Linked DNA regions of Cricetulus griseus. The main gene of each other region encodes a partner of the protein of the gene in region 7 in a complex. Links are inferred from orthologs where the notes say so. Each region holds a gene or a part of one and is shown on either strand. Other genes may lie near its edges. The genes, in order: Cetn2, Cetn3, nucleoporin NUP188 homolog, Nup153, Nup98, Xpo1 and Ranbp2.

Evidence for each region.
Region 1: Ranbp2 (region 7) and Cetn2 share a complex: the UniProt entries of both Homo sapiens proteins name them as parts of the nuclear pore complex. The link is inferred for Cricetulus griseus from reciprocal best matches to the Homo sapiens genes RANBP2 and CETN2.
Region 2: Ranbp2 (region 7) and Cetn3 share a complex: the UniProt entries of both Homo sapiens proteins name them as parts of the nuclear pore complex. The link is inferred for Cricetulus griseus from reciprocal best matches to the Homo sapiens genes RANBP2 and CETN3.
Region 3: Ranbp2 (region 7) and nucleoporin NUP188 homolog share a complex: the UniProt entries of both Homo sapiens proteins name them as parts of the nuclear pore complex. The link is inferred for Cricetulus griseus from reciprocal best matches to the Homo sapiens genes RANBP2 and NUP188.
Region 4: Ranbp2 (region 7) and Nup153 share a complex: the UniProt entries of both Homo sapiens proteins name them as parts of the nuclear pore complex. The link is inferred for Cricetulus griseus from reciprocal best matches to the Homo sapiens genes RANBP2 and NUP153.
Region 5: Ranbp2 (region 7) and Nup98 share a complex: the UniProt entries of both Homo sapiens proteins name them as parts of the nuclear pore complex. The link is inferred for Cricetulus griseus from reciprocal best matches to the Homo sapiens genes RANBP2 and NUP98.
Region 6: the proteins of Ranbp2 (region 7) and Xpo1 are in contact, whole or in part, in a cryo-EM structure (PDB 9B62), measured with the Homo sapiens proteins. The link is inferred for Cricetulus griseus from reciprocal best matches to the Homo sapiens genes RANBP2 and XPO1. Residues at the interface, in NP_006258.3 of Homo sapiens: Val2508, Val2509, Ser2510, Pro2511, Pro2512, Lys2513, Phe2514, Val2515, Phe2516, Gly2841, Phe2842, Gly2843, Ser2845, Thr2846, Gly2847, Leu2848, Ser2849, Phe2850, Ala2851, Leu2853, Ala2854, Asn2857, Ser2858, Gly2859, Asp2860, Phe2861, Ala2862, Phe2863, Gly2864, Ser2865; in NP_003391.1 of Homo sapiens: Trp60, Val63, Asp64, Leu83, Asn97, Gln98, Gly101, Ile102, Lys104, Tyr105, Val107, Gly108, Ile110, Ile111, Leu134, Phe149, Asp152, Ile153, Gly155, Ala156, Ser157, Arg158, Thr159, Ser160, Glu161, Leu163, Cys164, Asn167, Leu208, Phe211.

What each region holds. Positions count from the first base shown.
Region 1 is NC_048604.1:2,891,046-2,894,892, reverse strand, and holds the end of Cetn2 (centrin-2), read right to left. Parts: intron 2,199-3,847; coding exon 2,061-2,198; intron 1,200-2,060; coding exon 1,110-1,199; 3' UTR 617-1,109; downstream 1-616. UniProt on the Homo sapiens protein: Plays a fundamental role in microtubule organizing center structure and function. Required for centriole duplication and correct spindle formation. Has a role in regulating cytokinesis and genome stability via cooperation with CALM1 and CCP110.
Region 2 is NC_048595.1:302,239,004-302,242,899, reverse strand, and holds part of Cetn3 (centrin-3), read right to left. Parts: intron 693-3,896; coding exon 501-692; intron 1-500. UniProt on the Homo sapiens protein: Plays a fundamental role in microtubule-organizing center structure and function. As a component of the TREX-2 complex, involved in the export of mRNAs to the cytoplasm through the nuclear pores.
Region 3 is NC_048599.1:141,944,666-141,949,361, reverse strand, and holds the start of nucleoporin NUP188 homolog, read right to left. Parts: upstream 2,896-4,696; 5' UTR 2,866-2,895; coding exon 2,834-2,865; intron 1-2,833. Other genes in the region: Dolk (dolichol kinase), read left to right, coding at 3,257-4,696. UniProt on the Homo sapiens protein: Component of the nuclear pore complex (NPC), a complex required for the trafficking across the nuclear envelope. Required for proper protein transport into the nucleus.
Region 4 is NC_048596.1:266,427,480-266,432,024, forward strand, and holds the start of Nup153 (nuclear pore complex protein Nup153), read right to left. Parts: upstream 2,834-4,545; 5' UTR 2,306-2,833; coding exon 2,195-2,305; intron 1-2,194. UniProt on the Homo sapiens protein: Component of the nuclear pore complex (NPC), a complex required for the trafficking across the nuclear envelope. Functions as a scaffolding element in the nuclear phase of the NPC essential for normal nucleocytoplasmic transport of proteins and mRNAs.
Region 5 is NC_048596.1:97,257,285-97,260,186, reverse strand, and holds the end of Nup98 (nuclear pore complex protein Nup98-Nup96), read right to left. Parts: intron 1,444-2,902; coding exon 1,332-1,443; intron 1,232-1,331; coding exon 1,014-1,231; 3' UTR 802-1,013; downstream 1-801. UniProt on the Homo sapiens protein: Plays a role in the nuclear pore complex (NPC) assembly and/or maintenance. NUP98 and NUP96 are involved in the bidirectional transport across the NPC. May anchor NUP153 and TPR to the NPC.
Region 6 is NW_023276807.1:83,488,482-83,492,377, forward strand, and holds part of Xpo1 (exportin-1), read right to left. Parts: intron 1,729-3,896; coding exon 1,600-1,728; intron 872-1,599; coding exon 713-871; intron 1-712. UniProt on the Homo sapiens protein: Mediates the nuclear export of cellular proteins (cargos) bearing a leucine-rich nuclear export signal (NES) and of RNAs.
Region 7 is NW_023276807.1:2,653,684-2,658,336, forward strand, and holds the start of Ranbp2 (E3 SUMO-protein ligase RanBP2), read right to left. Parts: upstream 3,060-4,653; 5' UTR 2,947-3,059; coding exon 2,875-2,946; intron 1-2,874. UniProt on the Homo sapiens protein: E3 SUMO-protein ligase which facilitates SUMO1 and SUMO2 conjugation by UBE2I. Involved in transport factor (Ran-GTP, karyopherin)-mediated protein import via the F-G repeat-containing domain which acts as a docking site for substrates.

The DNA.
Region 1 (3,847 bases), on a different chromosome or scaffold from region 7:
GGAACGAACACACACACACACACACACATCAGAAGACTAGAATGCCTCCATTAAGTTAAAAACCCATCGTTTCTTTCTCATATGAGCATCAATAAGTATTCAATCATTGTTCATTTTCTATTTCCCTTCAGCCCACCTTGTTCCCTACTTTCACCATGGAGTTGACTTTAAAGCCACATAATTGGGTTTCTCTCATAGGCAATGCTATGCAGGGCTTAGAGGGCTCCTGGATATTACCCCTTTTCTTCTGAACCCAATCCTAAGATGCTATGAGATGCTATAAGCAAATAAGCTCACAAGATTGCCTGAATCTTACTACTGTCTAGCTCTCTCCTTTTTGTCCAAGCACAAATTACCCAGAAGACTCTCTAAGCTTTACAGTTTGATGGAAGAAGTTTTAGGGCTTAGGTCATATGGAAATCCTATCAGTTGTAAAAATAACTTTTGAAAGCAAGAAACTTTCCATGGCAGAAAAGTAGCAAAGAATTAATTCCTTTTTTGTCCATAGGCTGATAGCAAATTTTGTATATCTATGAGGCTGCCCTCAACAGAATTGTTTACAAGATGAAATCACAGTTAAAGGTTAAAAACACTCATCCCTTTAAAGAATGAGAGCTTAAATTAAGAAAAGTTTTATTTTTAAAACAAAACAAATGCATTAACACATATCTAAATGCCATAACAAGCATTCGTTGGGTTTTATGTGAGGAAAAAACTGCACTCTGGTGTCAACTAAAAACTAGAACAATTTTAGAACAACCACTGTTTATTGTGACATGGCTACATGGACATCTAAGAAGCCATTGTGTGTTTGCAGCTGTGTGAAAATGCATAAGCAATGTGAACTAATGGAAAGTGGAGTGGCTGCAGTCACACTTTCACACCCTTTCCCCACTATGTGCTCTTGTTCTGCCCTGTTTAATTAGTCAGCAGGGAAATGTACAAAGAACTTAATATCAAAGAAACTTCCAAAAGTCAAAAATAGATTCAGGGGCATGGCTAGTTAACCCACAGGTTGGGGAAGGAGGGTTCTCAAAAGCCGTATTTCACAAAATGGCAGGCACTAAATCTAGTCACATGTGCTTGAAGTAGAAAAAGAAGCAGTGATCTTAATAGAGACTGGTCTTCTTCATGATGCGCAGGAACTCTTGCTCATTGACCTCGCCATCTCCATCTCGATCAGCTTCATCAATCATTTCCTGCACAGCAGTAAGGGTTCATCTTAGATTAAGTCACAAACTAAACTGAAAACAGGTTAGATAAGGAACTCCTGGAACCCAGTTGCAAAGAGGGAGATGTGAAGAGCAAAGAGGTCAAGACCAGGCTGGTGAAACCCACAGAAACAGCTGTCCTGAACAAGGCATTGCTCATGGACCCCAGACTAATAGTGGGAAACCAGCATAGGACTGATCCAGACCCCCTGAATGTGGGTATCAGTGAGGAGGTCTCGACACTCTATGGGACCTCTGGTAGTAGACCGGTATTTATCCCTGGGGTTATTAATGGACTTTGGTAGCCCATTCCACATGGAGAGATGTGCTCCCAGCCTGGACACATGGGGAGAGCCTAGGCCCTGACCCAATGATATGACAGAATTTGGCAATCCCCCATGTAGGGCCTCACCCTCCTTGGGTACAGGAACAGGGATGGGGTGAGGGTTTCGTGGGATGTGGGGGAGGAGGGGAGGGAGAGACAGCTGGGATTGACATGTGAAGCAGGCTTGTTTCTAATTTAAATAAAAATAAATTTAAAAAAAGAAACTTCAAATAATGCTATAAGGAAAGATAACTATGGTCCATCTAATGTGAGTGTGCCACTTTTTATGATAGTTATTTGAAACCAAATCACATATATTGTCAAATGTATCAATTGAAAAGTAACCCTGGCCTGAAACCCAAAAGAGGAAATTCAGCTGCACATGTGTACTCCAGAAGCAGGGTCCATGGGCATTTAATTATCACTAGAGGCATAAGAAGTTTTCCTAGTAGAGAAAATAGAACCTGGGAAAGCCAGGGGGCTCCAACGTGAGGTTTCGAGTTTCTAACTGAAGCTTTACGCACCTGCAGTTCTTCATCAGTCAAGTTCTCGCCTAACTCCTTGGCCACACGCTTTAGATTTTTGAATGATATTTTCCCAGTTTCATCATCATCAAAGAGCTTGAAAGCTTTCAGGATTTCTTCTTTGGTGTCTTTCTCGGACTTTAGTAGAACAGAAAACAGATAGTTATTCATATCCTACAGTCCTGCCACTTCTTGGTCATCCTTTTGTTTCCAAAAACCTGACCTGGGCCATGTTAGGAAGGCAGGCAAGTCAGGTTCTCTGGTCCACGGTGGAATGTACTCTCTGTCTACTTCCTATCCTAACATGTATTCCATAATCAGCTCATAATTCAGTAAGAACAGATGCCAGCTTGGTGGAAAAGCCAAGAAGTTCTGATAAACGGGCACAAGGATTGGTTTGAGGGGTCAATGAGACATGTAGGGAGGACAGAGTCCTAGGGCAGCTGGACAGTTTCCACAGGTAGAAGACAAGGGCTTCTGACATGAGCTGGGGCTCATCTTTCCAACACCCAACACTGGATATTACTAGGTATCTATACGGATTGCCCTTCTTTTGCTTTGTCTTGTTCAGAACTTTCCCCAGTTCTAAAGCCAAGGGGGTAGTTTTAGGGAAACTATCTTCTTCGATTAATTCCCTGGCCCCCATCACACATCATCACATGGTCCTGGTGATAGCCCTTGTGATATATGCCTTCAGTTACAGAAAAAAGTAAGACCCATTATAGAAAAAGAAAACAAACTCAGTAAACTTAACATAAACTCTGGGATTACAAAGGAAATATAATTGTATCTAAAACACTGTACAGACCAAGGAGATTCTAGATTCTTTTTTACATTTTTAAAAGCAGCAAATAGGGTTATAATTAGAGAAAATACACTGCTAATGCTAACAGAAGTTAGAGATATACTTATAAGGGCATTTTTAATAAGAGAGGCATTTTGCACAATGGACTTCAAAGAATTACTGGGTCTCTGAGTACTCTAACAGAAAGAGTAGAATTTTCCAAAGCATTTAAACCTCAAATGTTTAATGAAGGTTCTTGCCAGGAGTTACAACTAGAGAACTAGTTAGAGCAATCTAGGAGCCAATCTTGAGTATGAAATGGATTTGCTAGAGAGCTGCAGAATACCAAGCTTCCTGATCTCTTAAATCAGTACACACATGCACATACATGAATGCAGATGTAGATACGGTGATTTCAAAACAATTCCCAACCTGTGCCTGGGAAACACTTTGAGGAACTTGAAAGGGTAACCTTTCTTCAGGTATACTGAGAGAAGGAGCCACACCAATAAGCCAGAAGGCCAATGTAAGAGCAAAGTTGGTCTGCTAAAAGGATCTAAGAAACTAGGAATAGATGAAAGGAACCTTAGAAGTACCAAAACACCTTATCTATTCTAAAGCTCAAAATTCTTGTGCCTGTGATTGTACATACTGAATTGTCAAAATGAGAAGCATTTGTCCGAAAAATGTCACAATACCTGATTTATTGTATGCTAATCTAATTTTAATAATATTAAAATAAAAATGAGAAGCATATGAAAATCTCTGTGTTAACATGTTTTAATGCTTGTGATTATCATATGGTCATATGAGACAAGGTAAAATGATTTCTGTGATACCGTAACCCTAAAGAAAGCCAAATGAAAATTAGGGATCCTCTTAATTATAAATACAATGCTCAATCATGTGAATGGTATAGATTTTATTGGATGAAGTTCTTTTTATGTCTAGATTCCCATGTATCTACCATTATGGATGGGAAGTATGCTCATTATCTCAACTA
Region 2 (3,896 bases), on a different chromosome or scaffold from region 7:
AGTCAGTCAGGGAAAGAATTCAGTAATATTTTAAATAGAAATCAGGGCCTGAATCAGAGTAGCAGGAAAAAATGTTTACAAAAAAATTAGAACTGATTGAAAGAAAATCAACTAATTTAGTAATAGTTCAAAGTACAAGCAGGTTGAGAGGGAAAGCATGAAAGTCTGAAATTTTAGTAAGCAGCTACATTTTGGTATTATTTCATCTTCAGAGAAGTTATGTGTAATATTTCATATCATAACTTGCATAGCTGTTTTAAAGATCTGCTTCAGTATAAATAGAAGCTCAGAGTTTGGCACCCAATTGAACTCCCATCTATTCAGGAGGCTGAGGCAAAAGGATTATCAGTTCAAGATCAAACTTGAAATAAGTTCAAGGCAACATGAGGCTCATCTTCAAAAACAAAAGAGAAAGAAAATGTGGGGGAGAAGGGAGAGAAAATTTGCTTGGAGTCTTGAAAACTCAACAGATTTTAGAAAAAAAGTAAGGCAAAACTTACTTTCTCCATCGCCATCTTTATCAAATTCTTCGATCATAGCTCGAAGTTCTTCATCACTCATATTTTCACCCAATTCTCTGGCAACGCGTCGCAAATTCCTCAAGCTTATTTTACCCGAATCATCATCATCAAATAGTTTAAATGCTTTCAGTATCTCTTCATGTGGGTCTCTTTCCAATATCCAGTCTGTCACTAGAGTTAAAAGAAACTTTTGAGTCAGAGAGCATTCATCTTTAAAAATCAGCTATTAAATGAGGTGAGATCTGTGAGTCTGACAACATTCCATCTAAAAGTTAAATATAAAGGTAGATCACAAACTCAGAGATAATACTAATTCCAAAGCCAGACTTTAAATGGTAATCTTTTAGTGTCAATAAATATTACAAATGTAAGTACAAAGGCCAAAAAAGAGACTACACACACACACACACACACACACACACACACACACACACAATATATATATATATATATATTGATCCCATTATTACTAAGAATTAAACTGGGCATGGAGAGATGCTTCAGCAGTTAGGACCACTTGTTCTTAAAGACCATATGAGTTCAACTCCCAGCAACCACATGGCAAATCACAAGAGTCTATAATTCCAGTTCCATGAGATCTGAAGCCCTCTTCTGACCTAGGCACCACGTTTGCTGTGATGCAAAGACACATGTGAACAAGACACTCATATCAGTAAATATAACACATAAAATAATTAAGTCCATAAAACAATTTTTTCAAAAGTTACTATTCCACCTCTATCAGGCCACTGAGTTTAAGTGAACAATGAACACTACGTAGGTGAAAACTGTTAGCCAAGTGACACCTTGATTCTTCCTCAAATTTAACCCAACTCAGATGTAGGGATTAATCAAAGATATTGCCACCACTAATACAAGCATAAAACAAGTTAGCACGTGCAAGTGCTATCAGCATCTTCATGATTAAAAGAACCTGTTGACTTTCAGCAACACTAAAGATGGATTAAAACAATTAAACCTGATCACACAACCCACAGCCCTGGAAGGGGGTCTAAATCATGTCTTTTTTAAATATAACAAAATAATAATTCTCAAACTAGTTAAATAGAAATGAATCATTTCAGACTTAATATATTAAACAAAGCCACATATCAACATACTAAGTATGTATACTTCAACATCATAAGCCTTTAATCAATAGTCAATAAAAATTGACATCTATAAAATTTGATATTGCTTAATAGAATTCTCAAAATATCTAGGTAAACAGTTCTGAAGCAACTCCACATGCTGTTCTGCTCCAGGGAAAGACATTTATTATTTTCATCACACCATCAAAAGTAATTTGGTCCTAATGGGATCTATAGATTCATTTGAAAATTTCAAATGCCTATAGCCAGGAAGTACTGGAATGTTTAATATGCCCAAAGTGGAAAAAATACAATTTAAGTCTTCTACAAGTTGTTGTCTATTGCTATTTCATTTGTATTTGGCTGAATAAGCACCAGTCAAGCTAATGGTACATATCAACTACACATATATCCAAAATTATCTTTTAGCCATTAATTTTATCCAAAAAAAGGTTTCCAAGAAACTAATTGAAGTATATTACTCTAAGTATGCAAATCAAAGCTCATAAATATTCAGTAAAAAGAATTGGCATACCTACAGCCATAACACCAAAATAAAATACCACACTTAACTCTATGGCACACACTCAACTTATTTTGAATTCAGTCCCAACAAGAAAGCAGGACAAGAAAAAAGTGTTATGAAATTTCATCGATTAAGTAACATCCATGACAGGTAAACCAGAAAGGCAGACTGCCGAAAATACTAATGCACTTAAAGAAACAACAGATGGGACGCCAAGATGCACAAGCACTTACCCACTGACACTCTATTAGAATTTCAGATAGATGTGTCTATATAATCACCTACCAATAGTCTCCTTTAGAATTCAGCTTTCTTAGGACTTGTAACTGCCCATAAATTCTGAGCAACTAGAGCGTCATCCAACATAAAGTATTTTACAGTGATATTCTTCCACACCTTCACTTTCCATTTCTGTTCTACAAGTACTATTTGAAAGAAATATCTTTTTCAATAGAAACAAACCAGGCATGATGGCTCTTGCCTACAATCCAGTAGGAGGACTTAAAGCAGTTAATACCCACACAGTCAAGGTATCACCTGTTTCACAAAACTCCAAATTTCTATCCATTCAACCACTTTTTGTTTTAATTTTCATACTGCAGTACTGCACTTTATTGACATAAAGCACACTATAACCAACTACAGAGACACATGACTTAACTACACTGTCAGAAATGTCCTCCCATCAGACGTTATAAAAATCATGTAAGGAAACAACTAATTCTGAAGCACTACATTGAAAGTAAATCAAAAATCATGAAAGACAATATTAGAAAGTTCCTATCCAAACATACAATACTTATTTCAAACTCATAGATACTGGACCTTCAAGTCCTTCCATAGCCACCTATGGGCTTTGCTGCCTCCTTGACCTCCACTGACTGAAGGGTAACTGCATCATTTATTCACTCTAACATAGTGGTAAGGCTTTGGATCCCATAAGTGCCAGTTACCACTGGATACTACAGCTCTGAAGACACTATCTTATTTTACTCTCAAACTCAAGCCTTTCTTTTCATCTAGCAATTCTGACCATAAAGTCTACAACTTTCTGTCTTCTCAGAATTTCTCCAGTTCATCTTCAATCTTCTCATCAGCTACTCTTGTAAAACATGGTATCCCAGTCTGTAAATTTTAGTACAATACTTAAGACTATCAGTCTGGCCCAATTCTGCCTTCCCAGTGCTCTGACCTTCTCTAGAAGAGGGGACCACATGAGATCAAACTTCTCCAACATGCTGAGCATCTATTACCACTCAGCCTTGTTGCTTTCTCTGCACCGACTGCATATCCTCTACTCTTACAATCTTCTTGGCAATTTTAGATTCCTGAAGATTTAAATTAAAATTCCCCTATGCAAAGGCTTAGTTCCTCCGATGAAGACTTGAGAGACATTTCCCATAAAGGGCCAGATGAAAAACATTTTAGGTTTTGGGAGACTTAAGCTCACAGTCTAAACTACTCACTCAATCTGGTAGCAGAAAAGCAGCATAAATAAATGGGTGGTAGTACAGAGTAAGCAGTCAAATTCAGTCCCGGGCCTACAGTTTGACAACTTCGGCCCTAGCTAACAATCTCCCTCTATCACAGAACCAGAGTTTGTTGTCACCTATACCTAAATCTAAGGTCCTAAAAACAATTTCTTGGTAATTTTAACTAACCCCATTCTTCCCACCAAATGCAAAAATTTCAGTGCTAGATAAATGATCAAAATGGAAAAATACAATATCGGATTTTAGATAGAATTTAAAATATAAG
Region 3 (4,696 bases), on a different chromosome or scaffold from region 7:
TTTGAAAGTTGCATTCTACATAGAAATAAATGCAGTTACTGTCTACTTGACTCTATTGGAGTGGCACAGTTCTCTTGTAAACTAAGATTTAAGCTTAGCAACAATAGCTTTTTGTTTGTTTGGGTTTTTTTTTGTTGTTGTTGTTGTTTTGTTTTTGTTTTTCGAGACAGGGTTTCTCTGTGTAGCTTTGGAGCCTATCCTGGCAGTCACTCTGGAGACCAGGCTGGCCTCAAACTCACAGAAATCCGCCTGCCTCTGCCTCCCAAGTACTGGGATTAAAGGCGTTCGCCACCAACACCTGGCTGCAGCAACAGCTTTTAAAGGTTTATTATGTAGTGTTTTGTATGCAGGTATGCCTGCAGGCCAGAAGAGGGCACCAGATCTCATTACAGATGGTTGTGAGCCACCATGTGATTGCTGAGACTTGAGCTCAGGACCTCTGGAAGAACAGTCAATGCTCTTAGCCACCAAGCCATCTCTCCAACCCCGACTTTTAACTCTTTTGAGATGGGGTTTTACTGTGTAGCTCTAGCTGGCCTGGAACTCAGATATTAGCCTGCCTCTGGGCCCAGCAATAGCAATAGTTTTTCATACCGTGGCGTTACTTGCTCACACACCTGTACCACTCAAGACTTCCAAACACCAAAAGACCTCAAAAATGCCAATCCAATATTCAAACCAACTTTCTGCCAAATTCTGAGTGACTTTCACAAGATTCTGAGTGGCTTAAAGAGCATCATTCCAGTGTCATCAGTGCCAATTCCTATGCACACACCTGCAACTGCAGCAGCAGAAAGGCTGAGGCAGGAGGGTTAGTGTCAGACCACACACAGAACATTAGGCTTCACAGTCATTTCAATAAGCCTCTAAAAAACAACACAAGTGCTCAGGAGGAGATGAGGGAAGCTGAGGCTAATATGGTTTGCTAGAGGGGCTGTATGAGCAAGCTCCAGATTGATAGGGAGACCTCTGCCTTGGTAAAATAGAGATCTAAGAAAAACACCCAACGGCCTCCATATGCACACACACCTGCACATACAAAAGATTAAAAGATTCCCATTTGGAAAAGCAGTAGCTTGAAATGGAAAGGTGACTTCTAAGGGCAACCACAAAGCAATAGACAAAAGGAACAAGATGGATGTTTTCTTGATCCAGATCTCAGGTTTTCAAATAGAGACAACTATTTCCAACTGCTAGGAAGCATGCTTTTCAGTGCCAAAAATCACTCTGCTAACAGACCAAGACAGTGCCTAGAATTCCATTGTCCTCAGGTTGTGGCTTGGTAGTAGAATGTTTACCTTGAATTTCTGAGGTCCTGGGTTTGTTCCCCTAGGACCTCAAAATAAAAATAAGGGGCTGGAGAGATGGCTCAGTGGTTAAGAGCACTGGTGCTCTTCCAGGGGTCCTGAGTTCAATTCCCAGCAACCACATGGTGGCTCACAAGCATCTGTAATGAGATCTGGTGCCCTCTTCTAGCGTGCAGGCATACAGAACACGGTATACATAATAAATAATCTTTAAAAAAAATTAAAAACCCTAGAATCAGTCAAAGAACAGCCTCAAGGATGGGTTTGGTAAGTTCCTCAACACGAATGAAAGCCTACTAGCAAGCCAAACTTTTCCTTTCCTTTTGAAAAATTCACTTTTTTTAACGTTTCATACACGTATGTATCCATAACTGTGGATACAAGGACTAGCATGAAACACCAGAGGAAAGAAAACCAAACTCACAAGGATCATACCTTATCCACAGGAAAATCCAAAGGAAGAGGCTGATTTAGAGAAAGACAGGCGATGTGTGAGATATATACATGTCTGTCTGCGTGTTTAATGGTTCAGCAGGGAACAAAACCAAATGAAACTAGCAGAGTCAATTCCAGATGACAAGTATGTTTAGGTTTTAAGAGTGGAAGTCTGGTCTGTAATGTAGAAGATGTAATAAGCACAGAGGTCTGATTATGGCTTTAGTCTGACAAGTCTTCAATCTGAATCCTCACGGGGATTATCACAGAAGAGGGGGACTATCCCTGTATGAACTGGACTTTTGAGCCATGTGTAACAGGAGGCACCTCTCTCTCCTAGTTGTCAGAAATGAATGAGATAATTCCTGCAAGGCACTTTCCCAGGGTCTGGCGCTAGTAAGCGCTCTTTAAAGGCAAGCAAGACTGGTAATTCATGTCCGTACTTTCCGCACTAAGGCAAAGGCAGGAGGATAGGAGTTCAAGGCCAGCCTGTGATACAGGAGCCCTCGCCTCCAAAAAAAAAAAAAAAAAGCACTCCCTAAGTGAGAACCGTGTGTGTGTGTTTTGTAATAATCCATCTTGTGTCTGAAGCCTGGCGCAGCTACCCGAAATCTCTTGGAAGATGAAGGCATGTCTGCTGAATGAATCAATAACTGGAATCAGCCAAAAATAAAAGAAGGCGGGAACTAAGGACGTCCGCGGGAAGAACCCGCGGCGTGGGCAAGGCACGCCCGAGGCGGGGCAGGGCGCGGGGACGATATGGCGAGGTTCGGGGAGGGGGGTGTCTCCCATGCGACCCCGAAATGTTCTGCAGTGCCTACAGGGAGCGTGCTGGAGGAAGCGTGAGTGCGGCGTGGGTCGACAGAGGGCACAGGGACCACGGAAAGGGAAGGGAGAGCGGCCGGCCCGCTCAAGAAGTGTCCTCAGCGCCGCGAGCGGGGACGGTTTGGACCTAACCGCCTCCGCTGCGAGTGTCCGCCCACCCAGCCTGGCCTCTTCTCCACCACTGCCGCCGAATCCCGTTCCCAACTCCCTCCCCGCTCCCACCCGGCGCCTCACAGCCTCCCCCGCCGCCGCGCCCTCCTCCGCACCTCACACACGGCCCACCGGCGGCAGCCGCCATCTTCGCGCGCGCGTCCCAGCCCCGCCCCCATACACCGGGCCCACGTGACCGAGCCCCTGCGATAGGGGCGGGACTTTCCGTCACGTGATGGTGGGGCGGGCCCAGAATGGGGCTGTCAAGATGGCGCTGCCCAGGGCTGAGAGCCGTCCGCGGTAGAGGCGGTGGAGCCCGTGAGAGGTGAAGAGTGCAAAACATCCGCTACACCGTAGGTCGCAAGCGGTGGAGGGTGACGGGGCGCAGGCTCCCAGGCCTCAGAGTGGCCCGAGTGGAGCACACTTTTGGAAGTTGGAGAAGGTTGCTGGCTGGGTGAAGCTGTTGCCCTCTGCTTGGCTGGTTGAGGCCAAAGCATCCCTTGTCACCAAGCTTCCCCAGGAACCCAAGGCCTAGAGACATGACCCGACAGTGCCCTCCCCCAGTCGCGGAGTCTGGGTTCCCGCTGAGTGGCTCGGTGCTGGCGGAGGCTGCAGTGGTGTTCGCAGTGGTGTTGAGCATCCACGCTGCGGTGTGGGACCGATACTCGTGGTGCGCTGTGGCCCTCGCAGTGCAGGCGTTCTACGTTCAGTACAAGTGGGACCGGCTGCTCCAGCAAGGCAATGCCGTTTTCCAGTTCCGAATGTCCGCGAACAGTGGCTTACTGCCAGCCTCCATGGTCATGCCTTTGCTTGGGCTGGTCATGAAGGAACGCTGCCAGACTGCGGGTAACCCGTACTTCGAGCGCTTTGGCGTTGTGGTTGCAGCCACCGGCATGGCAGTGGCTCTCTTCTCCTCGGTGTTGGCATTGGGCATCACTCGCCCGGTGCCCACCAATACTTGCGCCATCTCGGGTTTGGCCGGAGGCATTATCATTTATATTATGAAGCACTCCCTCAGTGTGGGCGAGGTGATCGAGGTCCTGGAAGTCCTGCTGGTATTTGTTTATCTCAACATGATCCTGCTGTACCTGCTGCCCCGATGCTTCACTCCTGGGGAGGCACTGCTGGTATTAGGTGGCATTAGCTTCGTCCTCAACCAGCTCATCAAGCGCTCTCTGACTGAAAGCCAAGGGGACCCAGTGGACTTCTTCCTGTTGGTGGTGGTGGTAGGGATGGTGCTCATGGGTGTCTTCTTCAGCACCCTCTTTGTCTTCATGGACTCGGGCACATGGGCCTCTTCCATCTTCTTCCACCTCATGACCTGTGTGCTAGGCCTTGGTGTGGTTCTGCCCTGGCTGCACTGGCTCATTCGTAGGAACCCCCTGCTCTGGCTTCTTCAGTTCCTCTTCTACACAGAAACTCGAATTTACCTCCTAGCCTATTGGTCTTTGCTGGCCACCATGGCCTGCCTGGTGGTGCTGTACCAGAATGCCAAGCGGTCATCTTCTGAGTCCAAGAAACACAAGGCTCCTGCCATTACGAGAAAGTATTTCCACTTCATTGTGGTAGCCACTTACATCCCAGGTATCATCTTTGACCGGCCACTACTATATGTGGCTGCCACGGTATGCCTGGCCGTCTTCATCTTCCTGGAATATGTGCGCTATTTCCGAATCAAGCCCTTGGGTCACACTCTTCGGAGCCTTCTGTCTCTCTTCCTGGATGAACGAGACAGTGGACCCCTTATCCTAACACACATCTACCTGCTTCTGGGCATGTCTCTTCCCATTTGGCTGATTCCCAGGCCCTGTACACAGAAGGACAGCCTGGGAGGAGCAAGAGCTCTGGTCCCCTATGCTGGGGTCCTGGCGGTGGGTGTGGGTGATACTGTTGCCTCCATATTTGGCAGCACCATGGGGGAGATCCGCTGGCCTGGAACTAAGAAAACATTCGAGGGGACTATGACATCTATATTTGCA
Region 4 (4,545 bases), on a different chromosome or scaffold from region 7:
GACCTGACATTGGCTGTCCTGCACCCACTAATAGTACCAGCCTGCTTATTCTTATTCTAACCTTCTACCCCACAACCAAAGGTTTCATATGCCCAGAAGCCCTGGACACTTATCAAACATTAGTACAAAACATGCCATGTCATGAAGCTCCTTTACTACATCCAGGGTGACTCAGCAGCTGTTGCAAAACATCCAGTGGACAAGCTCGATGAAGTCCACTAAAACCCAGGTAAGACTAGTTACTTTAAGACAGAAACAAAAACTGAGATGCATTCTTTTATGTAACCCTAAATACTTTTCTTTGGTGGTTTCTGCCAATATTAAATCCACTAATCGATAAACAGTTACCTTTAATCCCTGTTCAAAGTTAAGATATTAACTTTTAAATTAAATAGCCATGGCTACACACAGAGAAACCCTGTCTCGGAGGGGTGGGGTGGGGGGATTAAACAGCTGAGGCAAGAAGCTAGTATTTTAGCTGACTTAACTTACTGACTTAACTACTTAACCATACAGCCTGAACTCGGGATCAGTTATAAAAACAACTTGGGTTTCAATTGTTAGGCATCTTCTCTCCCAGATTAGATTTTTATCTGAGTACATGTAAAAAATAAGCTGTGACCATAATTTTGTCACTTTGAATATATCAGTTCCTTTCTAAATTCTATCCAAACCATCCATTTCTCTGCTCATTTTTCTTTCATTTTTCTTTAACAAGCATTCGAAGGTTATTCGTTATTCTTAGGAGAACGCTGCCTTAACTTCTGCTGCACATTAGGTAAAATAATATGGCCAGGCTTGGGACCTGATTTTAATCTTAAAATCTGTTGACAAATACTCCTGCTCCTCATCCTCAACACTCTGTACATATCTAGGGAAAACGGTAATAGTGACAACCCTCCCAACCAACAACAAATAACTTCTGAGGACATAACTATAGCTTTTACTATTCAAAACTTTTCCTCATATCTTTACTTTTTAAACTGCCTAAAGTGATACAATTTAACATTACCAAACAAAAGCGTTAAGTATTCAAATCTGAGCACTATCCAGAATAAAACAGAATCTACATTTGACAGTATGCAACAAACTATTAAGACTCCAATAAACTTGAAACGCACACTTCCTACTTTAGTTCACCGAGGTACTTTTAGGTGGCTTTGTTACAATAAGTTTTTAACATTTTCTTAAATTCTTACAAGCAATTTTTAAACCCTGAAATTTTTCTCAAAAACCAAACATCTCATTTACAACAGAAATCAACTTTTTAAAATTATAAACATCCACGTAGGCATAAAGTGGCTTAACTATTTGAGACCGCCAACACTCCTGCTGTGCCCCAAGTACCTTAAATTTCTAGAAAACGCCCAGCATTAAAAATACTTGGGTGTATGAGATCAGAGCTGGAGAACTGGTTAAGTGTAGAGAATGGCTGATTCTGGCCTTCAAAATACTGAGCGGGGAGGAGAGAAGAGAGGAAGAATCGCGCCGCAGAGACTAGACGTAAGAGCAGAGAGGGACTTTCAAAATGCCTTAGTGCCACAGTAACTATAACTCGGTTAAGACGGGAAGAGGAGGAGAAGCTAAGCCAGCGTGTCCAGATCTGGAAAGGCCAACCCAGGGAGATGAGGGGACCGGACAACCAGCAATGTCTTAATGCAGCTAAGACTGAATCACTATTATTCCACGATCCGGGGAACAGCGCCCCCTCCCCAAGTCCCTCTGGGCGGCGGCGGCGGCAACTACCCTCCCCACGCACCCAGAAGCCGGGAACACCAGAAAGAAAAACAAATAAATAAAGTAGATAAATAAAGGAAGCCTGCTAGCGGATGGGCCTGTTACCGCATCTCTTTCCCCTTATTCCCTCGCGAGGTCGCGAGTCAATACCATCAAAACCCCAAAACCCGCCAAAACAGAAACCCGAGTCTCCGAAGCCTGGAATTTCTTTTCCCGCCCAGCGCCCGCCGGGGAAAGCCCCTGGGCGGGAGAGCTGGGAGAGGCCGCTCGCACCCCACGTGTGCGCCGCACGGCCAGGCCCGGCCCGGCCCGGCCCGGCTCTGCCCACTTCCCGTCGCCACCCCGGCCCTGCCTCAGGCCCTCCGGTCGTCTGGTCCGCTCCACGTGGGGGGAGCCGGGGCCTCGCACCGCCCCCCGCCCGGAGCCGCCCAGCGGCCGCGGCGTGCGGGTCCCGTACCTGGTGCTGGGGTCGCCCCTGCTGGTAAGGCTTCACCGGCCCCTGGTGGCAACGACGCGTCCGGATCTTGCCGCCGCCGCCCCCTCCGATGCCTCCGGCTCCCGAGGCCATGATGGAGCCTGGGCGGCCTCCCACTCCCGCTCCCGGGCGGGAGAGGCAGAGGCGGCGGCCTGAGGGCCTCCCCCGCCCGGCCCTAGGCGACACACAGACACAGCGAGAACCGCGAGGGAGCGAGCGGGAACTGAGAGTGCGCGCACGCCGGCGGCGAGGAAGGCGGTGGCGGCGGCTGAGGGCCCCGAGCTGGCTGCGGGCGGCAGGCCGCGTGCGGACCCCCGCGTCTGTGTTTGTCACCGTCTCTATGGAGATCTCCCGCCGAGGCCGGCGCGAGCAGCTCCGGGCGCCGCTGAGGCCTAGCTCGACCGCCGGCTGCTGGAGGCTCCTCTTGAGCCGCCCTGGCCGTCGCTGCCGCAGTCCAGGCCGCTGGCGCCGCCCGCCTACCCCTCCCCTGTGCGCGCTGCGCCCGCCCCGCCGCCGCCGCCGTCGTCGTCCCTGCAGTCGTCGCCGTCGCCGTCGCCGTCGCCGCCGCCGCTCTTGCGCCTATTACCGCTGTTGAGGCCGCCGCCGCCGCCGCGGTCGCGAGCCAGAACGCCGTCAGTCCTCGGCGCCCGACGCGTTTGCATCATCACGCTGCGACGATGGGGGGGACGGGCAAAGGAAGGAAGGGTTGGTCGAGCCCGCGCTCTCGGCCGCGGGGACCTCTGGGAAGTGTAGTTTTTCCGCGCAGGAACGCGGCTTCTGGGAAAGGCAGGCTGTCGCGGAAGGACACCCGCGGAGTGCCGCAGAGGCACAAAGCCCCGGTCGTTTGGCGGCAGTTGGCTTGCTTGTTTAGATTCAGAATAGCAGCACTCGGCATGGAAATAGTAATCTCCTCCCATTCATCGATATAAGCGGAATGGAAGTAAACAGTAAAATCGAAGGACGACACTGTGTCTAAATAGAGGGAAAAAAACAAACAAACAACAACAAAAAACTGCTTTTAAAAACAGTGACCGTGATTCCCTAGGCCTACATAACAAGTAGAAAAGGCGTTCGGCTTCTGCTGGTAATCCCAGCGCTTGGGAGGCAAAGGGGAATGAATGGTTAGTTAAAGGTTAGCTTCGGCTTCACTCTGAGATTGTGTCTCAACAAAGGCAAAAAAAATACAACTTCGTTACTGTTTCAGTAAACATTTAAGGGCTTTGTTGTCGGCGCACCGGCTGCTGGCAATCTGACTTGCTTCACTGCTTACATACTTGACCTTGGATGACTCCACTATTAAATAGTTGCTTTAAAATCCACCTTATAAAGTTGTGAGGAGCTAGCGCACTCATCTGTGGAGAGCACTCGGTAGACTTCCTGGTGTACAAGAAACGAAGCAAACGATTGCAACCATAACCTATGCAATCAACGTACTTAAGTAAGGGTGACGACTGCATTCCTGGGAAATAATGTATTTGCTTCACCTAGAATCAGGAAGGTGAATAAACAATGTACCTTCAAAGGCTGGATCCATGGTGTTAAGAGGCAGGAATTAGACAAAAGGTCTGTGTGATCATGTGATCCAGCCTATTCATTCAATGGGCTATTTAGAGACCCAAAGAATTGAAGGGGCACCAGTAAGGATACCGAGTAGGGCACTCAAAACCATGACTATAACCCAGTTTTCCATAAGACCTAAAACAAGTAACTAGATGATAAGGAAGAAGAATTAATTTTGAAGAATCACAGACTTAATATTCCGTTTGAGATCATTGTTCTAAGATTATAACAACTATAAAAGCAAATAGATGATTGAAATCTGTCACTTACTAGCTGTGTGGCCTTGGGGAGGTTACTGATCCTCTTTCTAAGCTTCACTTTCCTCATCTGCAAATAGAATGAATGTTTACCTCAGCGGGGACATGGTTCCGCTTATACTATAATAGCTGTTCCCAAAGAAAGCACTGAGGACCAACCAGAAGTCAGCTACCAAAAGTAACTGCCAGGCCCCCAAATTGTATAATTCAAATCACTATTAAAATCAAATTAATAAAAAGTTACTGTACCTTTGAACTCATAATATCTTTCAGCACGCACAACAGTGCTGTAACCAGTTGGTACGGGTTTTTGTCTAACCTTAGCCACAGAGACAAGTAGCAAAGATGATCAAAAGAATTCACTTCTCCTTCCCCGTCTTGATCCACCTACACTTTCCAGGTTTGTGCTCTCCCTGGGGCTACATATGTAAGACACAACTGTTAGCCACAAGTTTCCTTTGCATCCTATCAGAGTCAAAGTTTCCAGCACAGGATATTCACCTGTTTCTTGGAAGG
Region 5 (2,902 bases), on a different chromosome or scaffold from region 7:
TATATATATTTTTAATAAAAACCTTTACATAATCTTCATGCATAAAGACCCAGGGGTGGCCATATTATCTGTGACAGCCCCAAGATCAGCTGTCTCAGGCCATAGCCTGGGACTCCCCACAGCCAGCAGCAATGTGGTGAAGGCCTTCTACCTGTCCCTAGGGCCCAGCCAGGCCTGTCTTAGTGACAGTTTTACCTTCTGAGAATGTGGGTGAAAGGTGGGAAATGCTTGGTTAGATGGAAAGGCTGAGAGGAACACCTTTCACATTGTTTATCCAAACTCCTCTGGCAGATCCAGGAAAATGACTGATAAATCCAGGGCCATAGCAATTCAGAGGCTTCCCAGAGACACATTCTCTGTGGTCTGGGCCACTGCACATGATAATAGGGCAGGTATAGTGTCACAGGATATACAAGGCATGAAGAAAAGAGCCTTGAAGATCTCTGCTTCCATGGCAGACAGCCCCTTCTATCTTAAACATGTCAAAGAACAAGGTCCAACCTTCTTCACTCCCAAACCCAGTAAATCAAGAACTCTTCAGTGACAAATGTGTTAGGGGCAGACATTCAGGCATCTATCAGACATTTGTTTCGTCACCTGTCTCGCTCCTTTCAAGAAGAGCTGCAGTGGTTGAAGTTAGGCCTTGGCATGGGGTGTGTGCCATAAGACTCAGAACTTTGGGTGTGGAAAAGAATTCCCTGTTTTTTGGGAGGTTCTGCCAAAGAGGTTTTATTGACCATTTTTCAAAAGAAAAAGAAACTGAATGGTCTTCAAGTTGGTAAGTGGAGACTTGTTTGTTTGTTTTTTTTTTTTTTTGCTTCCAAAAGCCCTTGTACGGTATGTTCAGTATTAGGAAAAACCCTGAACAACTAGAAGATGCTGCACAGGGCAGCAGAAAGGGAGGGAGGATTCCACATCAACCCAGAGACTGGCGAACAGTGTCAATTCTAACAATGCTAGGGACTGTGTGTAGTGAGTGTGAAAGGGCATGAATGTGATGGCAAGAGCTGGGATCACTGGCTCCCAACAGTCAGTTCTCGAAGGTAGGACTGTGTGAGGCCACGGAGTTCCTCCAAGGCATAGTCCTCAGGCATGGGGAGCCTGCCAATGTGGGGAGCCAACAGACGCAAAGGGACTCGTTGAGGATCTAGTGTTGCATTGGAGGTGGCATCAGGAGCATGCTGCAGGCTCAGTACTACCCGAAGCAAGTTGGCAACACGCTTGGCCATATCTAGAGGGAAAAATCACAGTGAGTGCTGACGCCACAGTGTGGGTGCCATAATCATAAAGACAGCAAGTAAGCCACAAGCAAGTAGAGCCCACATGCTTACCTGACTGAGCCAGGCGGTCCTTGGCATTGTAACATGGAATCTGCTCTATCCGGTTGCATAGTGAGGTCACTTTGGTGTGTAAGTGCTCTAGTTCATAACCTGAGCAATCCACCTGCAGGGAAACAAGACCAGTAAGGATAAAAGAAACTTTTACCTCAGTCCACCCACAGATTACACAAAATCCCAATGACAACTGACAGGAGGCAGGAGAAAAACCAACAAGCTTGTAGCAGCACCTGTGTTACCGCTATGTCACCTAGTTGCTGAAGACAAGAGAAATTATACTTAGCCTTGGGCTGGACAGGTCTTGAGATCTTGACTCACAAAACACATCATTTTGACAAAGCATCAAAAACCTTTAGGGTAAAACTGGTTCAGAGAAACTAAGAGATGGTATTCAAACCATCATTTACTTTAATGTCCTTATTCTAAGTTCATATCCCTTACTAAAGCAGTGCAGGACCTCCTCAATCTATACACTCTCCTGATCCACCCCTATTGTTCTAATGATAGTCAATGCTAGCCCAATATACCAATCTTCCAGTTCCGGGGCATGGCTTTTGCTGTAGTGTGGGCCACCATTACTTCTCACCTCAAACTACTTAGGAGCTTAGCCATACTACTGTTAGTGGTACCCTCTACATCCAATTTGTGAGCATTTTATAACCATTTGGTTTTTGAGATCTAGTCTTGATATGTAGCTCCAGCTGGCCTGGCTGGAACTCATTGTGTATTACAGGCTGGTCCCCAACTTTCCACTATTCTCCTGCTTCAGCCTTGCCAATGCACCTGGCTCAGAGACATTAAAGAGAAAAAACAAACAAACAAACAAACAAACAAACTAATTTACTTTTATCCATTACTTATACTCTGAATACTTTGTAGCAACATCCTGTCTATTTGCTTCAACCTAGACTCTGTTATCCTATCTTTCTCACTGCAGAGCACCCAAGATCTCCAACCATCTCCCTTTCTACAGGTTTACTCAAGATGCTTTCCCAGATGCCTTTTGTCCATGGAACTGTGTACTTATTGTCTGTGAATGTGTTGCCATAGGAGCAGGTGTAGGTCAAAGGACAACTTGTAGGTGTCAATTCTCTCCTTTCACTGTGTCTGTTTTGGGGGCTGAACTCAGGTCCTCAAGCTCGACTACAAGCACTTTTATCTGCTGAAGCCATCTGATCAGCTCTGGAACTCACTTTGAAGAAGCCTTGCAGAATTCACATACTATTACTGACTTTAAACAGCAGCAAACAAAATGAGGTCTTTGCTTTCATGAACTTTACAAACAAGAAAATATCAAGTAGTAATTAACCTTGAAGAATCAATCATAAGCTATGATAAGCTGTGGGTATAAAGAAATTGGGTGTCTATTTCAGAGTAAGGGGTGTCAAGAGAAGCATCCTTGGGGAGACCAGATGTAAGCTGAGACCTTCCTAATAAGAGAAGGCCAATCCTTCCAGGTAAAGCAAACAGCCAAGCCCTGTAAGGTGGAGAGAGTTTACATGTAACACATGAGATAAAGAGGAAAATAGCAAGACAGAACTGGGAAGGTTTGTTTTTGACGTTTA
Region 6 (3,896 bases), about 81 Mb from region 7:
GTGGAACTCTGGTGTTGAACTTCTGGGAATCTTCACTCCTTAGCTTCCCAGGTGCTGAGATTACTAGCATGAGCACATTTCAAAATTAGATTCATACAGGCTATCCCAAATATGGTATTTACATTGTGTGTGTTCCCTGTGTGAGTTCCCACGGACAGTACTGACATGTCTGGCTTTTATGTTTTGTATATTAACAGTTTTCCAATTAAAAAAAATTGTCAGGCATAGTTGTATCCCAGTTCTTGGGAGGCAGGTGGATGTCTGTCTATATGTTCAAGGTCAGCCTGTCTGCCAAAACTACAGAGACCCAAATATCAAAGCAGGAATCTGTTTTGGAAACAAGGCATACTCATGCTTATAATCTCAGCACCTAGATTCACTGAAAGATCAACACCAGACTGCCCTACAGAGTTCCACAACAACCTAGGAGATAGTATAAGAGCAGCTAAAGCAGCTGGGCATGCTTTTAATCCAATCCAAGCATTAGGGAGGCAGAGGCAGGCAGATCTCTGTGATGCTCTACGGTGAAGTTCCAGGACAGTCAAGGTTAAATAAAAGTATCGTGACTCAAAAACAAAACCACAAAAAGCATACAGGTGGAGAACAAGCAAGATGTCTCAAAAATCCATGTAGAGAACAGGCACATATTCAAGAGCCTTTTATTTTATTTTATTTTTGCTTTGAAGAGACAAATACTAGGAGCCAAACCTACCTCCATGAGTGCTTCCCTGAGATTCAGTCTTTTTTCTAAAAGTTGACCATGTTCCTTTAGAAAGGTGCAGAGAAATAGACTGAGATTTTGAATAAAGTTCTGTTCATCATCTTTTCCATTTGAGTATGCAACTCGAATATTAGTATTTAAAGGAAGCATCTGGAAGTTAAAAACCAAGTTACAAACAAGTTACAAAACCACAAGAAAACAGTCTGAACTCTAAAATGACAACCCTATTTGCTGACATTAATCTGCACTGTATTTCTGGCCAATCTAGACCGCTGCCTGCTATATTCTTTGAATTTTTCTGTCAGGTTTTTCTCAAGACACAGAAAAAATATAAAGGTACACTCAAATGGCAAACAGTAATACAACATCATGCTTATCTTCCTAGATAACCAACAGATCTTAGTCTAGAGAAGAGGTTGTCTAGTTTAGACAAGCAATGTTGAGGACTGAGGAGGGAGAGATTGGTCCTATCAGGTTCCTAATTTCCCAATGTATAATCAAATTCAACCTTCAAATTTCTAGTTATCATGTAACGCCAAAACCCTTAATATTTTTTTTTCATTTTGAAAGTTTTATTGAGAGGGAGGTAAGAAATAAGGAAAGAGAAAAGATGTAAAGACAGAGAGGAAGAGAGAGGCAGGAAAAGTCCCTTTCTGACCCTTTAATGGCAAAGAGCAAAACCTAAATATTTCAAGGAAGAAAATAAAACTTTCAAGATTTTATATAATGTACATATAATCACACAATTCATCTGTATTAACTATTCTATAGTTTAAATCTATTATTTTTTATTGTTCATTGGGCAGTGCTATTGGTCATGAATCTTCCCATTTCTAATGCATTAAAATCATTCAGTTTTCAAAATAGTGGTATATTACCTGCTTTAGCTGCATCATTGTAAGTGTAAACAGAGTTTCAAATTGTTCCTCGTATTGGCTTACACTCACACCAGCAATCTCAGTGAGGCACTTTAGGGACACATTTCGAAACATTGGAACATTCAGGAACTATTTTATTAAAAGAGAAAGCAAAATTAAACAAGAGACATTTATTTTAAAAATGACAAAGGAGGGTAAGGGATGGAAAGCTGGTTGTGGTTAAAAAGCTTTTCAAGAGGACCCAGGCTCTACTCCCAACAACACCCAAAGGCAGCTCACAAGTAGCAGTCAAATGGGATTCAACACTCTCTTCTTATGTCTATTCCTTCTGACATCCAAGAGCACCAGACACACATGTGATACATATATAGCACGCACACATGCATAGTCAAAACTCATTCCCACAAAATAAAACACCATATACTCTAAGTACTGAAATGCTTGCTTTTCTTTGAGAGGCCCAGATGAAGACCAAAACTGCTACAAAGCTGAGGATGACTTTACACTTCTGAACTCTCTACTTGCTTCACAGGTATAGGGATACTGGGGATTAAGCCTATTGCTTTGTACACTGTGGTGATATATTAGTTATGATTTAATAAAGATTTTCTGAAGTTGATGCAAAGCCAGCCACACTAGTCAGCATAGAAGCTATGTGGTGGTACACACCTTTAATCCCAAGACTCAGGAGACAGAGGTAGACTACTCTGTTAGTTCATGGCCACACTGAGTTATGAGATTTATCCAGTCTAAAAAGAAAACAGCTCACATAAAGGTTGGGATCCCACACCTTTAATCCCAGGATTTGAGAGGTATAAAAGGAAGAAGCAAAGGGTCTGATGTGAGAATTAGTCTCCAGCCATGTTGATGACAGGATAGCCCTTTTAGTCTGAGGTAGAGGTGAGAGCTAATGGCTGGCTGGGCTGCTTTGCTTTTCTGATCTTCAGCTTGAAGCTTAAACCCCAGTATCTGTCTCTAGGTTTTTATTTTATGTGTTACAGTGCACACTTAGCAAATAGGGAACTACATCCTTAGTACACCTGAAATTTAAAAAAACAACTTGTTCAGTAACTTTCCCAGGATCTAAATTACTGTTTATGTTTGATTGGCGATTGGCTTGAGAACCCCATCTTAATAATAGTTAAAAACAACAACAATAAAAACCTACTCTGAGGAATGAGAATAGACAATGGGGAGGGGGTCACCATCAACTTACACATCACCTACATTGAATATGAGATGAACTTAAACCATGATATCCTTACCACCCTCCACAACCCCCAAAATAAGGTCTTTAGGATGTATATATTCTGTATACCCTTGGTGGTTGATTTGGGATTTATTAATAACTGATCTACAAAGTTCACTGGTTACTAATCTAGCTTTACTAAGGTTCAAAAAACATCCCAATAACATTCATCAAGATAATACAATGCACTGGTAACTGCTACAGAAGATTCCTCTGTACACTGTGTGAATATATGTTGCTATGACTGGTCAGTAGCTAAACAGGATAAAGTTAGGCAGGAAAGTCAAACTGAGGATGATGGGATGGAAAAAGATGAGTCAAGAGATGCCAGCTAGCTGCCCAGGAAGCAGGCATGTAGAAAATAAGGTAAGAAATCATGAGCCATGTGGGAAAGCATGGACAGTAATATGGGTTAATTTAAATGTAAGAGTTAGCTAGTAACAAGCCTGAGCTATCAGTAGAGCAGTTATAACTTAAGTCTCGGAGTCAGTTACTTGGGAAGTAGCAGCTGGTAATTTGGGAGCAGATGCTCTGGAGAAACACTCCAACTACAGGTAGCAGTAATTAGTAAGTGTATGGTATTCAAATTTCTCAGGCAAGAGATTTTCATGGCCCCAGTATTGAAGTATTTGCCATTAAGACTGACGATCTGAGTCTGATCCTGGGGACAGGCAACTACATACAAAATGAATACATGTAAACAAATTTCTTTTTTACTTTATAGGATTATCCCCTGAATTACACTTCACTGTGTGACTCAATCCAAAGAAAGCAATATGCTAATTGTACCCAATATAGAAATCTTGTTTGTTTTTGACAGCAACAAGAATCGAATCTGAGCTACAATCTCCAGCCTTCACTTTACTTTTTGTCTTGACCTTTTGTTTTGAGACTGGGTAGTCCTGGAAGTCTTGGGCTAAGTGGTCTTAAAGAGGCAGGTGGATCTCTGTGAGCCAGTCTACAAAGTAAGTTCCAGGACAGCCAAAGTGTCACACAGAGAAACCCTGTTTGCCTCAGACCCGCCCCTTCCCCCCAGAAAGCTTTCACA
Region 7 (4,653 bases):
CAAAGCTACACAGAGAAACCGTCTCGAAAAACCAAAAAAAAAAAAAAAAAAAAAAAAAAACCAAAAAAAAAAACAAAAACAAAAAAAAGTCTCAAAAAAACAAAACTAAAGATTTAAGATAATTAAAGCTGGCAACGTGGCTTCAGCAGGTAAAGGTACCTTTCCCTCAAGTCCACAAACCTAAACTCCATCCCTAGGCCAAGAGAAGAGAACCAACTCTAGCAAACTTTCCTTTGACTCCCACAAGAGCGCTTATTCTCTCTCTCTCTCTCTCTCTCTCTCTCTCTCTCTCTCTCTCTCTCAGTAAAATGAAATAAGATAATAAATTTGAATTTGAAACATTGGTAAAAAAAATAAAGAAATTGAAAACCTATAAATTGACAGCAGGAACATAAGAAAGTACAGTCACTATAGAAAGGAGTTTGAGGGCTCCTCAGAAAACCTGTTGTAAACTCAAGGGAATTAAAAGCAGACACTAAAATATTTTTACATCATTGTTTGCTACATTGTATGTATTGGGCAAAAGATACAAACAACCTAAATGTCAATCAGCAGTAAATGAATAAGCAAAATGTGGCATACCTAAGTATATATATATATATATATTATTATTCAGCCATTAAAAATGGATGACTCGCCTGGCGTTGGTGGCGCACACCTTTAATCCCAGCACTCGGGAGGCAGAGGCAGGCAGATCTCTGTGAGTTCGAGACCAGCCTGGTCTATAAGAGCTAGTTCCAGGACAGCCTCCAAAGCCACAGAGAAACCCTATCCCGAAAAACCAAAAAAAAAAAAAAAAAAAAAAGATGACTCTTAACACCTGCCACAACATGAATGATCTTGAAAATACACCAAGTGAAATGATCTAGACACAAAAGAACAAAATATAATATCCTACAAACATGAAATATCAATAACCAAATTCATAAAATACAAAACATAAAATACAGGTCACCAGGAGCACAGGAAAGAAGGGCCTGTGGCATTATTTCTTAGTGGTTACAGAACTTGTTTGGCATAACTTTTTTTTTTTTTTAACTACAAAGGGTTTTGGTTAAACAACACACTGTGTTAATGCCACAAAAGTGAACAATGAATGAAAATAGTTATGACAAACTTTCTTATGGTTGTTGCTCTCCAAGTTGGTCACTATCCAACCCAACCAATCTTACATCAAAAAGTATTTTTAAAAAATATGTTGGTAGCTGGGCATGGTGCACACCTTCAATGGTGCACACAAGCAATTGGGAGGCAAAGGCTCTGTGACTTCAAGGCCAGTCAGAAACAGAAAAAGCAAAACTGAATACATACAAATTATTTGCTTGTCACTGTTCCTAACAAAATTTAACAACTATTTTTATAGTATTAGGTACTATTATTTGAGTATGCCTTATTTGAAATGCTTGGCATTAATAGATTTCAGCGTCTCTGGGTTTTGCTTTTTTCCTTCAGGTTTTTAAGTATTTTCAAGCATATGAGATATCCTGGTGACAAGACCCAAGTCAATATAAATACATTTGTTTAATGTAGACTTTATACACAGAAACCTGAAGGTATTTTCATTTGATAATGTTTTGTGCCCTGGAACTTTGATTTTGACACATCAGAGGAAACTGGCTGTAAAATTTCCCCTGTGGCATACAGCATTAAATGAAGTTGAATTTTGTTTTGTTTTCCAAGACAGGGTTTTCTCTGTGTAACAGCCCTGATGTCCTAGAACTCACTCTGTAGACCAGGCTAGTCTGTGCCTCCCAAGTGTTGGGACTAAAGGCGTGTGCCACCACTGCCCAGCATTAAACATGAAATTTCTTAAGATCACTTTGGATTCTAGTTTTGAGGGGTTATTTTTATTGGACTGGATTATCTAACTCTTTCAAACTACCTAAGAAAAGATTAAAGGTAACAGAAAACTATGCTGTTTGCATAAGGGACTTGTGCATCCGTGCATTTTTGTATAAATGGACGATCATAAAACCCTTAGAGACAACTATTTTTCAGAATTAAAAAAAAGACAAACTGAACTGTGTGTTTGCAATAGATAAACTGAAGCTCGCTGTATTTCAAGGTTGCCCTAAATGTTTAACATGAATCAAAACTGTGTTTTTATTGATGAAAAGTCTATACTATATCAAATTACAGTTTAGAAATGGCAAAACCCGACTCTTCAACCCCAGAAAAACTGACTCTAGAGCCTCTGAACATCTCCACCGGCGAACCCTCTTGAAGAATATAAAATAATCATAAACACATGAATGATTTCAAAATTAGAAAAACAGCCACGGAACATGTTACGGGAAAACGTTAGCAACGTTAAGGCACAGCAACTACTGCCTGTAAAGAATTTAAAATTTCTGACCTTCTACCTTTAAGTAAAAGAACTTTTTAAAAAGCCAAGATAGCTTCCAAAGGAGATTTTGGGAAAGGCGATGTAAGGAGCGGGGCACAGCAACGGAAGACTCCAATTAAGGGCCTCCCGTGCGACGCGCCCTGCGAATGCGGCTGTTCGTCCGCTCCATGTCCACGGAGCCACCCGCACAACGGTAAAAGCCCCCCGCCGGGCGGCGTCAACCTCCCGGGCAGACACGGCCTGCGTCGCCGGATCTGTCTATCCCGGGGGCCGAAGGCGCCTGCCGCTGCCAGGCGAGCCCCGAAGAGCGCCCCAAGCCGGCCTGCCCCGCCGAGACCGAGGCAACGAGGCCCGAGTGAGCCCGCGGCCCGCCATGAAGAGGAAACGCGGGCGGCCGCAGTGCCCGCGCCTCCGGTGCTCAGCAGCGCCACGCCACGCCGCCCGCGGCCGCCTCCGCTCCAGCCGGAGCCGAGGCCGCCGGGAGCCATGACGCCGGCTGGCCGGCCGGCTGGGCCGGACCTGCTCACCTCTCGCGGCGACGGGGCGGAGCCCTGCACCGAGGCGATGTACCGCTCCACCTCGGCCTTGCTGCGCCTCATCGCGCCGCCGACCAGGCTCCCCGAGAGCGGGAGGCCAGCCCTGGGGCCTACAGCCGCCGCTGTCTCCAGGAGGTGAGCACCGAACACCGGTGACGCAGCTCCGTCGCGAACGGATGGGGGCGGCGCGTGCGACTCGCGTCATCACCGTGCGCCACGCTGCGGTCTGACGCGCCTGTTTGTCGCCTCCCGCCTTCAGACCACGTTACCGTTTTCTCTCTCTCTCCTCTCTCTCCTCTCTCTCTCTCTCTCCTCTCTCTCTCTCTCTCTCTCTCTCTCTCTCTCTCTCTCTCTCTCTCTCTCTCTCTCTCTCTCTCTCTCTCTCTCTCTCTCTCTCTCTCTCTCTCTCTCTCTCTCTCTCTCTCTCTCTCTCTCTCTCCTCTCTCTCTCTCTCTCTCTCTCTCTCTCTCTCTCTCTCTCTCTCTCTCTCTCTCTCTCTCTCTCTCTCTCTCTCTCTCTCTGTCTGTCTCTCTCTCTATATATATATATATTCCCCCCTTTTCAAACGAATGTGAATAACTCTTCCCCCCGGGAGGGGGGGTGTAAAAAACTCTTTATATATTTCATTAGTGGTACATCACAAAGAGGACCCAAAATGACAGCGCCCTGAGAGTCCGACCTTTTTGACGCTCCATCTAGTCAAATTTTAAAAGTTGATTTCCTTTTAAAGAGACGAACTTCATCATTGTCTTTTCGTTTCAACAGAATAATAGTTAATACTGGGCCAAGACTTTATGTTTGGATAAACCAAACATGGTTGAAATATTGGCGTTACATGGTGAGATGCACTTTTCCCGGCGTAATAGACCGTTAGGGGCAAAAAAGGGAAGTGATGGCTTTCCTGACGAACACAAACCAGGATCCTTAGATTTCTGAGGAATGCTGAATTTAAAATGTTTCTGGGGCTGGAGAGAGATGGCTCAGAGGATCAGAGCACAGCCTGTTCTTCCGCAGGTACTGAGTTCAATTCTTAGCAACCACATGGTGGCTCACAACCATCTGTGATGAGGTCTGGTGCCCTCTCTGACCCGCAGACATACATGCAGGCAGAACACTGTATACATTTATTTATAAATAAATAAATCTTTAAAAAAAATTCTAAAATGTTTCTGTTTCCCCGGGTGAGAATCGGGGCGGCCGGCCATCTACGACATTGTTAACAGCACTGCCGTTTGGGGTCCTGTTTTGTGACTTAACAATTAGCGGTAATAAATTATAAGTTATATTGGCTACTCCGAAGGACCCAAGTTCAGTTCCCAGCACCCATATCTGGTTGCCGACAACCACCCCTAACCAGTTCCGAGGGTCTAAATCTTTCACCTCTGTAGCACCCGAGCACACACGTGCTGAGATACACACAAACATTAAAATCTTTTTTAAACTAATAGTTTTGCCGGGCAGTGGTGGACCACACCTTTAACCAACCCCCAGCACTTGAGAGGCAGAGGCAGGTGGATCTCTGTTGAGTTCGAGGCCAACCTGACTTATTGAGTCAGTTCCATGACAGCCTAGGGCGGTTACACAGAGAAACCGTATCTTAAAGAAAAAGAAAAAAGAAAAAAAAGTAATAGTCTCAAGGTTGTGAATCAAGAGTTGTGAGAATTTCTGAAAAGAAGCTGTGTCTGCAAAGACCTAAGATTAAAACTGCAGTGATGTGGCGAGAGCTTAGAATGTTGTAGGTCTACAGGGCATTGACCTTATTACCAGGTC